Caenorhabditis elegans: one gene and its partner. The protein of the gene in region 2 purifies or fractionates together with the protein of the main gene of each other region. This does not show direct contact. Each region holds a gene or a part of one and is shown on either strand. Other genes may lie near its edges.

Evidence for each region.
Region 1: the proteins of dnc-5 (region 2) and Y62E10A.6 fractionate together in Caenorhabditis elegans (co-fractionation; one large-scale study listed by BioGRID). This does not show direct contact.

The regions. Positions count from the first base shown.
Region 1 is NC_003282.8:13,370,011-13,373,934, reverse strand, and holds the start of Y62E10A.6 (NADPH:adrenodoxin oxidoreductase, mitochondrial), read right to left. Parts: upstream 1,937-3,924; coding exon 1,828-1,936; intron 1,768-1,827; coding exon 1,652-1,767; intron 1,495-1,651; coding exon 1,418-1,494; intron 429-1,417; coding exon 68-428; intron 1-67. Other genes in the region: Y62E10A.24 (Ribonuclease P protein subunit p20), read right to left, coding at 2,406-2,685, 2,745-2,857; popl-7 (Protein kish), read right to left, coding at 2,862-2,964, 3,034-3,143, 3,203-3,226; rplp-2.2 (Large ribosomal subunit protein P2), read left to right, coding at 3,655-3,711, 3,769-3,903.
Region 2 is NC_003279.8:2,881,678-2,885,601, forward strand, and holds the start of dnc-5 (Dynactin subunit 5), read right to left. Parts: upstream 1,778-3,924; 5' UTR 1,764-1,777; coding exon 1,647-1,763; intron 685-1,646; coding exon 351-684; intron 1-350. Other genes in the region: arx-1 (Actin-related protein 3), read right to left, coding at 2,187-2,282.

The DNA of each region.
Region 1 (3,924 bases), on a different chromosome or scaffold from region 2:
GGAACAATAAAAAGTGGATAATTTTGTTTTAACATATTTAAAAAAAATTTAATTTCAGAATGCTCACATGTTCTGGTCCCCTTCGTCCTAAAATCTTGATATCTTTAACATTAGCTCCTTCAAGAACATTCAATCGATCTCCAGGAATATCACTGATCCTTAATAATCCAGAAGAAGCTGTTGAAAGTACACGTGCACAATCAAGAGCAACATTTCCATTTCCAACAATTACAACATTTGATGTTGTAAGATCTGGTGTTGATGCATTTGGAACTCCATTATACCATCCAACAAATTCTGATCCAGATATTACATTTGAGGCATCACTTCCAGGAATATCTAAAGTTCGTGTTTTATATGATCCATATGCCAGAAGGACTGCATCATAGCCACGTGTTAACTCATCAAATGTAATGTCTCGTCCGATGCTGAAAAAAAAGTATGAAATTTGAAAAATTGCATGATTTTTCGTATTTGAAAATGCAAGAATGGCCGTGGAAAACCTCTTCCACGACCACCAAGAGTGTCGTTTTTCGATTTTTTGAAGTTTTTGAGGGAAAATCGAAAAATTGAGACCCCAAGAAACAGGATTTACAAAAAGTTTTACAAGTTTATGTGAATACTGTTTTCCTGGGGTCTCAAAAATATTTTTTCGATATTTCGAATTTTTAAAAATCGAAAAACGAACAATTTTCTGAGAAAATTAGAAAAATTGAACATAAAATATGATTTTTTTAAAAATCTAATTTCGTTTAAATTGATGAGAAAAAATATTAAAATTTACTCTAAAAAGAAGAAAAATGTCCAAAGTTTTAAGCTAACAAGTAGTGTACGTTTTTAAAAATCGAAATTTTTTTTTCGAAATATCGAAAAATCGAAAAAATCAATTTTTCAAAAATCGAGCATTTTCCGTTGTTTGTTGTTGAAACAATCGAAAACCGACACTCTTGACAACCCCCCACGTGTCGATTTACGCGGCTCGTGTACTCCTCGAGGAGAAGACTGAATTTTTTAAAGAATTTTCAAGTTTTGGAAACTAAAGGTCGATTTTTAAACATTTTTCCCAACTTTTCATATGGAAATTTTGGTTTTTTGTGAGATTTTTTCAAAAAAAAAAAAAAAGATTTTCGAACCTTCATGCTTCTAAATTTGAGGAAAACATGCAATTTTAAGTGGGATTTAATTGTTTTTTATCTGGATTAATTGCAAGAACTGAAAAATATGAATAAGATTTTAAAAATCTAATAAATTTGGCTTTAAAATTTTCCTTTAATTTTTTGACTTTTGTTTGACTTTTTAAAAATAAACTTTCTATAAGAATTTCGCAAATAAAAACTGTAAAATTCTTCTCCTCGTGGAGTACACGAGCTGCGTAACTCGACACAGTCCTCCAATAATTGAGAAATTAAATAATTACTTCACATTGCAGAATAGTTTCAGCCGTTCACGATTCTTTTCGAACATTGCATCAAATGTGTTTATCACGTTTTTTACCTGAAATTTTGAAATTTTCACAATAATTTTTAGTTAAAATGGTATTTTGGCACCAATATGCAATTCGGAGAAGATTTTTTCCTGATTTTTCCGTTTTTAATTGAATATTGTGGCCAAAAGAACCGATTTTCTTAATTTTTTCTCGAATAAATCTCACTTCCTGATGATCTGGAGCCACACCATACCGAACTAATCCAAATGGAACTGGAGAATTTTCGAATACATCTACCGAGAAATTACTTTTTCTAAGCAATCCGTTGCACGCGAACATTCCTAAATTTAATTTTTTTGGAAATAGTTTACGAAATTTCCAGAAAATTGTTCTATTATTACCTGCGGGACCGGAGCCCACAATTGCTAAACGTGGCTTTCCGGACAGTTTTCTTGATTTTAAATTGAGATTCGAGCAGGCTATCCTTCGTAGTAATGTTTTACCGAACATCTTAAATTAATTTATTATTCAGACGCGAAATTTCGCTTACTGTATCAGGTCTCGACACGACAAATTTTTAATAAATGTAAACAGGTGCGCGCCTTTGAAGATTACTGTATTTTTAAAAATTTTGATGCTGATTTTGTTAAAAATTTTAGTTTTTTTTTTAAATAATTAAATAAATAAATTTTTCCGTAGCAACGAAAGTTTGAACCTACAGTACTTTTTGAAGGCGCACACCTTTTCACATTTGACAAAAAAAATGTCGTGTCGAGACCGGATTCCGCGTAATATTCCGCAATTTTTGAGCAAAAATCGAAAAATTTGGCGACTCGGTGATTGAAAATGTAGAAAATAATAGGAAAGAGTAACCAAGAACAACTAAAAAATCAAAGGAAAAAATAATTAATTCATGTAGGCAAAAAAATAAGACCCATTGACAAAATTATGTGTAATATATATTCAGTGGAATGAAGATTTACGAGGCAACACGATAAAGATGAACATGCACGGCAGAAACAGAACGATGACGTGTCTCGCTTTGATCAAGGTCCAGAAGTGATACAATATCATCTGTACATTGTACAGTAGACGTTTGAATATCAGACTTGACACTTCCACCGAATCTTCTCTCAACTTCCATCGCAAAAACTAGAGCTTTATTGATAGATGCTCCCATTCCATGGATGAAAACTTCATCGAATGCGTTATTCAACATCTCCTCGGTGGATTTTGATTGTGATTCGACGTTGGTTTTTCTGCAAAAAAACACTATTTAATGAGAAATTGTACAACTAAATTGATAAAAATTAATCACCTTGTGATATAAATATGATTAGGATTACTGCTTGGTTTTACAGGCGGACGGCGCCTCATTTCGTTTGTTTTTTCATCGAATCGTTTCGATGATGGAGTCATGCGGATAGCCATTATTTTAAAGGAACAGCACAACAAATGCCATGCAAAAGCAACTGATCGATACCCACGGACTGAGACGTTCACCGATTCGAGCACACTTCCAGAAAACGCCGAGGAGACTGAAAATGCTTTGAATGTTCGATTTCTCCACGAAAAGTCTGCGTCTTCAACAAAAAAAAAACACTCACCCTTCCTTGTTTCTATCGATTATTCTCGGTGCAAAGGCTCTGATGTAGGCACACGTGCAAATGAGAAGAAGGATAACTGAGATAAGACTTTGGAAGTTGAAGATTGCCGACTGAAAAAACAATGAAATGAATTTTCATTTTTGAAATATTTATCAGCAAGAAAACTCACCAGTTTTGCTGTTTCTGCAACCAAACAAGGTGCCTTTGCTGAAATTTATCACTAAATATTGATTCAGACTCAGTTTAATACGGAAAAATTAAAGAAAAGTAGTTTAAAACCTCGAAAATAATATAAAATCTGCAATTTCAATGCATTGCAAATGTTGGCTGTTTAAAGGGACACGACATTTCGCGACGAGTGGGTCTCGCCACGCGCGCCTCGACAGTAGGCCAGCCTCTCGGTCAAGTGAATTTTTTCTTTTTTTGCGATTTTTCCTATGATTTTTCTCATCGATTTCCGCGTTTTTCTTCACAAAATTATCTTGAATCGATTCAGAAAAAATTTGCGCTTCACTTGACATATCATGATGCTGAAACTATCTGCAAATACTCAATTTTCGATTTTTATCGCCAGATTTTCCTGGAAATATTTAAAATTAAAGTTATGGTTTTGCAGGTAATATGCGTTACGTTTCGGCTTACTTGCTCGCCGTCCTCGGAGGAAATGCCAACCCAAAGGTAATTCTTAAAAGGAATTGAAACATTTTAACATTTATTTCAATTGTGTTCTTTCAGGTTGACGACCTCAAGAACATCTTGAGCGCTGTCGGAGTTGATGCTGATGCTGAGACCGCCAAGCTCGTTGTCTCCAGACTTGCAGGAAAGACAGTCGAAGAGCTCATCGCTGAGGGATCCGCTGGACTCGTTTCGGTACGTATCCAACCTTTATGG
Region 2 (3,924 bases):
ACAGCGATTCTACCATTTTTTGAAAATTAGGGAGCTCAGAAAAATAAGAAAAATAAGAAAAATCGATAATTTTCGATTTTTCGCCAAAATTCCAATTTTTCAATAATTTCAGTTTTTTTAAAAATGTTTTTTGAAAGAAATTTCTCAATTTTTCCAGTTTTTTCGATTTTTCCTACTTAAAAAGTTCGAAAAATTAGGAATTTTCGATTTTCCGTCAAAATTCCAATTTTTCAATCATCACAGGCAATTTTTGTGCTTTTAAAAACGTTTTTTTTCCAGTTTTTCGATTTTCCGGCTCTCAAAAAAATTAGGAAAATTTCAAATTTTCGCTTTTTCGACGGCATACTGACCAGGATTCCCGCCGATCGTTGAGTACGGTGGAAAAAGTGCGTCCGCTGGAACTACAGTATCCGGAAGAACCCTCGAACATTCTCGAATCACACAACCATTTCCGAGCACCGCACGAGCTCCAAGATGTACAAATGCGTAGATTTGAGCGGCATTGACGACACATTCTTCTTCAATAAATACATAATCACCAATCATAACGTTGCACATTGTTGGTTTTTTGCTGAATATTTTCATGCATGGACGGATGTTACATCGAGACTTTAGAACACAATATTTTCCAATTTTAACTGTCGCCAGATCACCGCGAATTGTCACTCCTTCCTCGATTATTGTCTGCAAAATTTCACTTTTTTTGATGTTTCAAATCAGGGGTGGGCGGCTATTTATTTTTGGCAGATTGCCGGTGTACCAAAATTGCCGGTTTGCCGAATTTGCCGGAAATTTTAGATTTTGGCAACTTGACAGTTTACCGAATTTGCCAAAAATTAGAATTTTTGGGAAATTGCCGGTTTGCCGGAAATTTTAAATTTTTACAAATTGCCGGTTTGTCGTTTGCCGAAAATTTCAATTTTTGACAAATTGCTTATTTGCCGGAAAATTTCAATTTTTCGAAAATTGCCGGTTTGCCGAATACTTTCATTTTTGGAAAATTGCCGATTTGCCGAAAATTGTAATTTTTGTCAAATTGCCTATTTGCCGGAATTTTTAAATTCCGGCAAATTGCCGGTTTGTCAAGTTTGCCGGAAATTTTCATTTTCGGAAAATTGCCGGTCTGTCGGAAATTTTAATTTTTGGAAAATTGCCGGAAATTTTTTTTTCTCGCAAATTTACGGAAATTTTAATTTTTGGCAAATTGCCAGTGTGCCGGAAGTTTGAATATTTGGCATATTTGCCGGTTTGCCGAATATTCCTAAAATGCTCAATTCCGGCCCACTTGCCGATTTGCCGGAAATTTTCATTTTCGGAAAATTACTGATTTGCCGGAATTTTCATCTTCAGCCGGTTTACCGAATTTTCAAGAAATTTTAATTTTCGCCAAACTGTTGGTAATTTTAAGTTTTGGTAAATTGCCAATTTGCCGATTTGCCGAAAATTTAAATTTTTTCCAAATTGCCGGTTTGGCAAATATGCCAGAAATTTTAAATTCCGGCAAATTGCCGAATTTGCCAAAAAATTTGTATAGCTTATTCCAAAAATCTAGAAAAATTATATTGCGCTATTTTTTTAATTTCTTTTTTTTTTCAAAATACTTGGAAAACACTGAATTTTTTCTAAAAATTTCCAAAAATTCTCACTTTTCCAGCAATTAAAATATTCTGTGTTCCAGCAATTGCATGCTTCTTATTCACTTTATTTCCCGTATGCGTCTTCGCCCATTCCGTCTCATCGTAGTAGACAATTGGAAGATCCATCTGAAAATCAGCGTCTGAAATTTTTCTAGTTTTTTTTTAAATTCAAAAATATCACAAAAGAGTTCTACTTTTTCAAATCGAGCGGAATTTTTCTCCAAAAAGACTACAAAAATAAGGGAATTTATATATAACGGGGGAATAAATTAAAGCAATAGTCATGCAAAAAAACACAATTTAAGAAAAAAAATTGGGGGCGCAGGAATCAAATTTCTTCGAGAATTTTTTCGTTCAAAAGGTTTTAAAAAATTGGTAATTTTTGGAAATAAAAATAATAAGTACATACACGAATCGCCCAGAATAAGATGAAAAAAAGTGAAATGTGTGTTCAAAAATTTCGGGAATTAGAGAGAAAAAAACGTGGAGAAGGGATTAAAATTGGAGAAAATATATAGGGAAAAAATACAAAAAAATGGAGAAAAAAAATTAAGTAAGAGCTCCGAAAACTGGATTGTAACGACAAATCGATGGTCCTCTCTCCATGTATTCGGCCTTTGTGTGTGAAACTTGGTAGAATTCCGACTGAAAATTTGGAATTGATAGTTTTTTTGGTGATTTTTTCACTAAATTTTGGGGGAATTTAATTGATTCTAAATTAAAATTTAAAAAAGTTTCCAAAAAAAATTTCATTTTTCAATTTTTTCCGACTGAAATCTTGGCTATTTTTGTGTTTCAAAAAGTTTCGAAAAATTGCCAAAAAAAAATTAAAAATATAATTTCCGAATAAAATTTTTTTTCAATTTTTTCTCAAAAACTTAAAATTGACTTTTTTGGGAATTTCAAAAAAAAAAATCAAATATTAGATTTTTTTTTGGAAAAAATCGGAAACATTTGTTTTTTTTCGAATTCTACCGATTTTTTTAAAATTTAATTTAAATTCGAAATCTACAGTTTTTTTTCACTAAATTTCGGGAGAATTTAATTTATTCTGAATAAAAATTTTTTAAAAAGTTTCCAAAAAAAAAAACAATTTTCAATTTTTTGAGTTTCAAAAAGTTTTGCAAATTTGAAGAAAAACAAATTAAAAATATAATTTCCGGATAAAACTTAAAATTGACTTTTTTTTGGGAATTTCAAAGAAAAAAAAATCAAAAATTAGATTTTTTTTTTGGAAAAATTAGTTGGCTAGTAAAAATCGATTTTTTTTTGAATTTTCAAAACTTGTTCAGAAATAGTGCTTTATTTATTTCAAAAACCATAGTTTTTCAGTGAAATTTTTTTATTTCTTAAATTCGAAATCTAATTTTTTTTTTTTTGATTTTTTTCACTTTCAAATTTCGGGGGAATTTATGACTTTATTCTGAATAAAAATTCAAAAATTTCCAAAAAAAAAATAAAATTTTCAATTTTTTTCCGACTGAAAATTTGGATATTTTTGAGTTTTAAAAAGTTTTGAAAAATTGCCAAAAAATTAAAAATATAAATTTTTAAAAATTTGTTGAGGTAACTGGAATACAAATTTCAGAAATTTCATTCGAAGCTCTGAATAAAACTTTTTTTTTTAATTTTTCGAATAAAAATCCGAATTTTTGAAATTTTTCTCAAAAAAAATCAATTATTTTTGGGAATTTTACAGAAAAAATCGAAAATTAAATTTTTTTTGTTGGAAAAATTAGTTGGTTAGTAAAAAATAATAAAATCGATTTTTTTAAAAAATTTACGAAATTCAAAAAATATAGTTTTTTTTAGTGAAAAAGTTTAATTTTCATTCAAATTTTCGAATAAATTATTTTCAACGAAAGAATTGATATTTTTTGCAAAAAAAGTACCAAAATTTCGGTCAAAAATGCATTTTCTCGGAAAAAATAGCAATTTTTTGAGATTTTCAAAATTTATGCTCATTTTTTTTAAAAATTTATGCTCAATTTATTAATTTTTAATCAACTTTTCAAAGTTTACCGGAAAAAATGGTTTTTTTCATTAAAAACTGTTTTAAAGCATATTATTCCCATTTGATAAGGCTGTTTTTTGTGAAAAAAAAAGTTTTTTATTCAGAAAAATCGATTTTTACTCAACTTTTCCAGTATTTCTTCAATATTCTTTTTTTAGATATATTTTTTACAAATATTTCCAACTGACAAAAACTCACAGTGGATGCACTTTTCAAGGTTTTCCGGAAAAATGTGGTTTAAAAATTTTTTTTTTTCATTAAAAAAACGTTTTA